2 linked regions of the Macaca mulatta genome follow. The protein of the gene in region 1 purifies or fractionates together with the protein of each later gene. This does not show direct contact. Links are inferred from orthologs where the notes say so. Each region holds a gene or a part of one and is shown in the gene's direction. Other genes may lie near its edges.

Region 1 (3,664 bases):
GTGATACCAAACAGCAGGGCAGTGGCCTGTGTTATACCACTCCTTGGGGTCAGCTATTCTGCAGTCCTATCACAGCTTTGGAGATGTAATTCTATGCAGTGAGAAGCTGATGTGATCCTCTTTGAGAGTCTGTGTAAAGAATCCCAGGGTTTTAGGCCAGGCACGGTGGCTCACGCCTGTAATCCCAGCACTTTGGGAGGCTGGCGAGGCGGGTGGATCACGAGGTCAGGAGTTTGAGACCAGCCTGCCCAACATAGTGAAACTCCCATCTCTAGTAAAAATACAAAAATTAGCTGGACGTAGTGGCAGATGCCTGTAGTCCTAGTTACTTGGGAGACTGAGGCAAGAGAATCACTTGAACCTGGGAGGTGGAGGTTGCAGTGAGCCAAGATCATGCCATTGCACTCCAGCCTGGGCAACAGAGTGAGACTCCGTCTTAAAAAAAAAAAAAAAAAAAAAAAAGAAACTCTCTCTCAGGGTTTTGAAAAGACTTTTCTGCTAAAAGCAAGCACACTGTGGTGCAGATGCAGTCCGTCATGCTGCATCTACATGCCCATCATGCTGCTGGGAGGCCATTAGTATGGGTTAGAGAGTGGGAAAGGATGGGAGGTAGGCAGGGGTGAGGGAAGGATGGGGTGAAGAGCATGGGGTGAGGGAAGGATGGACACGTGGACCAATATTTGTGAAGACCATGAAATGCCAGTCTCAAACCAGGTGATTTGGCCAGAGTTCTCTTCTGATACTGCATAGAGGTTTGTGAACTGGACATAGTAAATGACAAAGCTCTTAGCAGAGATACCCCTGTGAGAGAACAAATTGAGTTCCTCGCACTAAGGGCAGGCTCTGGCCTCCTACTCATCTTTCTTCCTGGTGGTAGGACAATCCATGGACTGATCTACAATGCCCTGAAGCTGTTTATGGAAATGAATCAGAAGCTGTTTGATGACTGCACACAACAATACAAGGCAGAGAAGCAGAAGTGAGTATCTCTCTCCCCGGGAGACTTTCATCTTCTACCACCAGCTCACTGTGTTTCAAGCCCAAACCCAATCCTACTTTTGCTCCTCAGGGGCCGGTTCCGAATGAAGGAAAGGGAAGAGATGTGGCAAAAAATTGAGGAGCTGGCCCGGCTTAATCCCCAGGTGAAGTTTTCCTGCCACTGCTGTGAACCGAGGGGCCAGCCCATCTTGAGCTGGGGAGAGTTTGTTAGGGGAGGAATATGGGGCACACAGGCCTCCAAGCCTCTGAAGTGGCTCTCACCACTTGTCCATGTCTCCTCTCACTCAGTATCCCATGTTCCGAGCTCCTCCACCACTGCCCCCTGTGTATTCGATGGAGACAGAGACCCCCACAGCTGAGGACATCCAGCTTCTGAAGAGGACTGTGGAGACTGAGGCTGTGCAGGTGGGAGGGCAATGTAGCGGGGTGGAGCAGAAATAATAGTTCTGGAAGGGAGAGGAGACAGAAACAGCACAGCCAAAGAATAAGGGGAGGAAACAATAGAATTCACTGGGAATTGGTCACCGTTCCTCTCCTTGTCCCTATTCACACACAGATGCTAAAAGACATCAAGAAGGAGAAAGTGCTACTGCGGAGGAAGTCGGAGCTGCCCCAGGACGTGTACACCATCAAGGCACTGGAAGCGCACAAGCGGGCGGAAGAGTTTCTAACTGCCAGCCAGGAGGCTCTCTGACCCCTCACATTCCTACCACAGGGCCACAGCCCACTCAGCCCTGGGACACTGCCCCGGCCCTCCACACTCTGCTCCCTACTGGCTGACTTGGGGGAAGGCAGCGCCTCTCTAGCTACTCCAGGGAGGGGGATGCGGGCACTTGAAGCAGGGACACCCACAGAGTGGTCCCTCTTCTCCCCAAAAGGTGTTCATGCCTCCCTGTGGCTAGTACAGGCTGAGCACTAAGATGCTTAGGGCTCAGACAACCTGGGGATGCCTGTCCCCTACCTGATCCTCACCCACAGCTACCTGAGGCTGCTCTGAGAAGTACACACAGGAATACATATGCTCCTCTATTCTTCCCTTCATCCTCATTTGAACGCCAGGTGTCTTCCCTCCTCTCTCTCCCCTGCAGAGGCATGTAGGGAACAGCAGAGATTATTCTCACCAAAGTTATGTCAAGCCCCATTGGCCCCTGGAGTAGCTGGAGGGAAGCCAACCCCCTGCAGCACAAACAGGCCCCCCAGCCGCAGCCATGTGCTGGCAGATAGGGTTGTACTATTTTTTCTTACCCCATGCCTGACCAAGGGAGGTCAAAAGGAGAAAAGCATAGGCTGTGGACAATAACTGATGAATATAGGGCCCAGATGGACCAAGTGTGGCCGGGGAGGGATGAACAAACACCCTATCCCATGCCCTGTCTTTGGTGAGCAGCAGCCCTGGGGTCACAGACATGGAAGGGACCACCTGGGGCTGACTGCTTTTCTGTGCTGTTGGTTCCCAAAACTATAAAGAAGGAAGCAGGGAGCGGTGCCCCAAGCATGGCTCCTGCCAACACCTATTTATTTCCTTGTTTGTGCTATGCTGGGCAGGCCTTCTCTTGTCCCTTGTAGGTACCTTGGAGGGGCCAGGGGCTGAGGAGGGCTGGACCCAGGTTCCAGGGGCGCAGGCAGTGCGGCTTTTGGCTGTGTACATAGGGTGCTTTATTCTCCACAGAGTGATACATGCTAAGGTGGGTTGGGCTTGGGCCGATGTCCCCATATGTACAGAACTGAATAAAGTGGGTCTCTGAGAAGTCTGATGTGCCTTGATGTGGAAAGGGAGATGGGGAAGATGGAAATGGACGTTACAACCAGGGATGTGTTCAGTCCTGTGCTGGTTCTGGCCTGGAATGTAGGAAGATAAGGCAGCTCTCACTGTGGTCACTTCCAAGCAGGGGATGCCTGCCGGGCTTGGAGGGCTTTCTGTACCACATCTTCCCACTGGGCATCCGATATCTCCCGAGCCCAGGCAGGAACCCCTGGCGCAGGCAGGCTTACTCCAGCCATCGTCCTTTTCACCAGCTCTACATGTTCTGAAATCAGAGCCAGAGGCCACTCAGGTATAGAAATAATGGGACCAGCTCCCCTCCCCAATCCCTGAATCAACCCAGAGCCCTTGGGCTGGTAGGGTCACCAAATCCATCTTGTTACTTCAAGGCAAGCCTGCCCATCCCCAAAGATAGCAGAAGAGCATTTCACTTGGACTCTGAAGTCTACAAAATCTTAGTTTACAAACTATCTTTTTAGGATAGGGTCTTCCTCTTAAACTTCCTTCTACTGACTCATGCCAGTTCATTTCCTTAGTAATTATTCCAGAATGAAAGAATGATCTTTTACCTGGGTCCATGGGAATAGAGCTGTGGTTGTTCAACGCTGTAGCTCCCTCATCTTCATCTTCACTCTCTAATGGGGGGTCTGGCAAATGAAGCCCCAGGGCCTGCAGAGCCAGAGAAGACTGTTTGGGTCCAGGCTTTCAGGGAGCCCAGCTTCACCTGTTGAGGAACCATCCCTCCTCCACCCTACCTGGATTCGATCCTGGATGTCAGCAACTACATCTCCATCCCCCACTGGTGCCAGTTCCACCTCCTCTTGTTCAGGATCTTGGTTCAGGGGCTGGTAGGAGTAGCCAGCTGGGCCCGACCCCGTTTCTTCCTGCTCTTCCTCAGGCTCC
Region 2 (4,907 bases), on another chromosome or scaffold:
AGTAGGAGCATTTTATCTTACAGAAATATCCCTCAGTTGGGGTTTGATGTTTTCCTTGCAGTTAGGGATTCACTGTATGCATTTTTGGCAGTCATGCCGTAGAAAGATGGTGTGTCCTCCTCCGTGCATTTTATCAAGTGGTCCTAAAATCTGCTTGTCTCAATGCTGGTGGTGGCAACTTTAATCACTTAGTTAAGATGATGTCTGCCAGATTTCTCCACTATAATGTTAACTGTTTTACAACTACTAAGGGAATATAAACAACATAATCCCTCCAGACCAGTAGGGAGTGGCTTCAAGATGTTAGAGAAAACTTCACCAGCCCAGTAGAGACAAGGGAGCATGATAAAAAAACACAAATTTATATAGAAAAAATAAATTTAATTATATCAGTGATTATAAGAAACAGACTAAAATTTTAGCCTGAGACTCTTAGATTGGATAAATAGTCAAAATGTAGCTGTTATTTGGGATGTACCTAAAACATAAATGACTGGCTGGACAAAGTGGCTCATGCCTGTAATCCCAGCACTTTGGGAGGCTGAGGTGGGAGGATCTCTTGAGTCCTGGAGTTTCAGACCACCTTGGGCAACATAGTGAGACCTCATCTCTATAAAAAAAAAAAAAAGTCAAAAAATTAGCTGGGCATGGTGGCATATGTCTATTGTCCCAGCTACTCGGGAGGCTGAGGTGAGAGGATAACTTGAAGCCAGGAGGTTGAGGCTGCAGTGAGCTGTGATCATACCACTGCACTCCAGCCTGGGCAAAAGAGTGAGACCTTCTCTCAAAAAAAAGAGGGGGGAAAAAAAAAAAAAAGACACTACAAACTAGAGGTAAGAGTTGGGAAATGGTATATTGGTATATCAAGTAATAAAAATATCAAAAATATAGCTAATAGGCTGGCGCGGTGGCTCGTGCCTGTATTCCCAGCACTTTGGGAGGCTGAGGCAGGCGGATTGCTGGAGCTCAGGAGTTCAAGACCAGCCTGGGCAACATAGTGAGATCCCGTCTCTACTAAAATACAAAAAAATAGACTGGTGTGGTGGCGTGCACCTGTTGTCCCAGCTACTCAGGGGGCTGAGGCAGGAGAATTGCTTGAACCCAGGAGGCGGAGGTTGCAGTGAGCCTAGATCATGTTACTGCACTCCAGCCTGAGCAACACGTGTGTGTGTGTGTATGTGTATACATATACACATACATGTATATGTATACACACACGTAACACTAATTAGCATGTATATATATACACACTATATCTAATACTAATTATAGCCAATAATATGAATGAGATAGGCTCAAATAAAAGGTGTTGTTAGAAATAAAGAGGTTATTGATGAAATCTGTCCCAGTTCTCTAGGAAGAAAGTATTCTAAATTTGTATTTACGTAGTAATAGCTTCAAAATATATAAAGAATAATTGGCATAATTCATGAGGGAAAATTGAGAGATTTATTAGGATTGTGGGAGAAATTCAGTACACATCCTTGCCAAGATTTCAAGCATAGTTAAGGCAAAACAACAATTAGCGAGCTGCATTTAACAGAATCCTAGGCCCACGAATTGCACAGGGTTCTGTACAGGTACACAAACTATCAAAGATGGCAACCTTATAAAGTAATATAGACGACTACATTTCCACAGAGAGTGCCTGTAGTTTTTGAGTTTAGTTTTTTTTTAATGTATCTGTGTCAAAATCATATTATTATAATGAAATATTGAATTTGTTTTTATCCTGCAGGGATACAATTGGTGTCATGATCGGAATGTGGTTACTATTTTCAGTGCACCCAATTACTGTTACCGTTGTGGGAACCAGGCTGCTATCATGGAATTAGATGACACTTTAAAATATTCCTTGTGAGTAACTGTAAATTTTAATTGTATATACTTACTTTCAGAAGGAAAATTTTAAATGTTAAAAATAGAAGATTTGTGTTTCTGAAATAGTGGGATGAGGAGTATAGCAAAGCCCCCAACCAGCAAAAACCACCATTAGCTGGAGAACATTACTTTTAAAAAATAATTTTTCAAAGCTTTTGGAAATTCTCCTAAGGGCATACAGCAGATGGATAAACAGTTAATTCAAGAAAACCTACTAAATCTCAATAATAGCCGTTGTCTGTGGCATTTGAGCTATGACTTGCTCCCTCCAACTCCTTCCAGATCCCTCTCACAGAAACGACTACAGGCGCTGTAGTCTGGGTTGGTACAGTCAGGAGGCCAAGGGATTCCCCCTTTTTACCAGCTCCCAGGGTTGGGACTGTGGTTTCACTCGCAGAGGTCAGATGCCAGCATATCTCACCTCTCCTAGTCTGGAGTTACAGAAGCTCTACTCTTGGTGGACGCAGTCAAGCAGGCTGAGGCCCCCTTCCCTGTCCCAGCTCCTGGGGCAGAAGCTCTGCTCCAAGCATGCATAGCAGATGAGAATGCTGGGTTTCCCAATGCTCTTACCCCAGCACCTGCTTGTAAACCAGGTGGTATCACTGAGCCCGCACTGGCACAGAAGTTCTGCAGGAGGAAAGGCAGGTCACAGAAATTCCTCAGTTCTTCCTCAGTGGACTTACCTTACTTAGGTGATGGAGATTTCCAAATCTGAGTGCTTTGTGGAAAACAGTGGATGTCATGATGGAGACCAATTAAGAGGGCTGTAATAGCTCCCATGATACTAGGAGCAACATACAAAAGAGCAGAGCAATAGGTTGTTCAACAAATAGCACCAGGGAAAAAGCCAAGAAGAGCCCTTCTGGGATCACAGTCAGCCCTGGGGGACAAGGCTGTGCACATGCACCAGCCATACCCACTCAGGAGCAGTCAGAGTAGGATGTGGGGTATTCAGATAATATTTTCAGGCCACACATAGATTGTACTGAGTTGAATAGTGTCCCCCCCGCCCCCGCAAATAATGCATGTCCACCCAGAACCTCAAAATGTGATGTTATTTGGAAATAGGATCTTTGCAGATATAATTATTACAGATGAAATTGTATTGGATTAGGGTGGGCCTAAATCCAATTCAAACGGGATTTTAGTAAGAGGAAAAGAAACACACACACGGGAGAATGCTGTGTGAAGCCAGAGATTTGAGTGATTCATCTACCAGCCAAGGATTGCCAGAGCCATCAGAAGCTAGGGAGAGGCTAGGAAGGATTTTTTCTAGAGTCTTCAGAGAGAGTGTGGTCCTGCCAGCACCTTGGTTTCAGACGTGTAGCCTCCAGAACCTCCAGAACTCTGAGAGGATAAATCCCTGTTGTATAAGCTGTACAGTTTGGTAATTTGTTACGGCAGCCCCAGGAAACGGATAAGTGGATTGATCAACAAATGGTGTAACCGTCACTGGTATATGAGGCTTAAACACAACCTCTAATCATTGACTGAACATTCAGTTACTCTGACCCAGGAGCACCTCCTAGGAAGTCAGGCTTTAAAATAAAATCACACTCATCCCTGACAGTCTGGCAGAATATGTGCATGCCCTCTCTGGACTAAGTGGAGAATGAAGATCCAACTATTAGTCCCTGACTGAATGGGAAGCTAAAATGTAAACTCCTTCAGCTTTGATAGCAATCTGCAAGTCACATAACATTTCCGGTGGTCATTAGGGTGGGCTTTAAGATCTTAACTGGCCAAGGGGGCTTAAGTCCAATCTTTGATCAGTAAGTGGCTTATGCCTACCCAGAGACAGCCTCTCAGTAGCCAGGCTGTGAAAGATTAAAAGAAGTAAAAACAGCCAGGCATGGTGACTCATGCCTGTATCCAGCACTTTGGGAGGCCGAGGTGGGCAGATCACCTGAGGTTGGGAGTTTGAGACCAGCCTGACCAACATGGAGAAACCCAGTCTCTACTAAAAATTAGCTGGGCATGGGGGCGCATGCCTGTAATCCCAGCTACTTGGGAGGCTGAGGTAGGAGAATCGCCTGAACCTGGGAGGTGGTGGTTGGAGGTTGTGGTGAGCTGAGATCACGCCACTGCACTCCAGCCTGGGCAACAAGAGCAAAACTCCGTCTCAAAAAAAAAAAAAGTAAAAACATCTGAGCAGAGCCACAGGGGCTGCACACTATGGGGGAAGTAGACTTTACAGTTAGTTCAGCTAAGTCACTAAAGAAAAATAATAAACCACCAAAAACACAAGATCAGTCCCCAGGGACATGAATTCCAGAGTTACTGCAATATATTATCTATAATGTCCAATTTTTCAACCACAGATTATAAGACATGGAAAGAACAAGAGAGTGTGACCTCTACACAAGAAAAAGCTAAGCAACAGAAACTGTTTCTCTTGGATAGAACAAGTAGGCAGGAGATGAAGGCAGTAGAAGACTTGAGCAACACTGTAAACTGACTGTATACCTCATGTCTATAAAACAACACCCAACAACAGCAGAATACATTCTTCTCAAGTAAACATGAAACATAGTCATATGCTAGACTATAAAACATGCCTCAGGCAATTTAAGAAGATTGGATTCTTACAAAGTATATTCTCTAAACACAAGGAAATGAAATTAGACATCATTAACATGGCTCGATGTTGTGGCTCACGCCAGTAATCCCAACACTTTGGGAGGCCAAAGTAGGAGAATCACTTGAGGCCAGCCTGGGCAACATAGGGAGACCCCGTCTCTACAAAAAAATTTAAAAATTAGCCAGGTATGGTGCCAAGCACCTGTAGTCTCAGCTGTGTGGGAGGCTGAGGTGGAGGATCACTTGAGCCCAGTTGATCAAGGCTGCAGTGAGCTGTGATCACGGCACTGCACTACAGCCTGGGCAACAGAGCAAGACCCCTGTCTCAGAAAGAGAAAAAGGTGGTTTAAAATCAGTAACCTGTGTTTATACTTGAGGACCTAGAAAAAGCAAAGTAAACTAAACCTGATCTAAACTTATGAAACGAGGTTTAGAGTGGAAATAAA

Evidence for each region. Proteins that work in one complex are often made in the same cells at the same time.
Region 2: the proteins of PPP2R5D (region 1) and PPP2CB purify together in Homo sapiens (affinity purification with mass spectrometry; 8 studies listed by BioGRID and IntAct, counting the BioPlex papers as one, with this or other methods). This does not show direct contact. The link is inferred for Macaca mulatta from reciprocal best matches to the Homo sapiens genes PPP2R5D and PPP2CB.

What each region holds. Positions count from the first base shown.
Region 1 is NC_133409.1:139,115,361-139,119,024, reverse strand, and holds the end of PPP2R5D (serine/threonine-protein phosphatase 2A 56 kDa regulatory subunit delta isoform), read left to right. Parts: intron 1-877; coding exon 878-979; intron 980-1,069; coding exon 1,070-1,142; intron 1,143-1,287; coding exon 1,288-1,404; intron 1,405-1,555; coding exon 1,556-1,693; 3' UTR 1,694-2,747; downstream 2,748-3,664. Other genes in the region: MEA1 (male-enhanced antigen 1), read right to left, coding at 2,875-3,026, 3,331-3,430, 3,517-3,664. UniProt on the Homo sapiens protein: The B regulatory subunit might modulate substrate selectivity and catalytic activity, and might also direct the localization of the catalytic enzyme to a particular subcellular compartment.
Region 2 is NC_133413.1:32,576,857-32,581,763, reverse strand, and holds part of PPP2CB (serine/threonine-protein phosphatase 2A catalytic subunit beta isoform), read left to right. Parts: intron 1-1,738; coding exon 1,739-1,857; intron 1,858-4,907.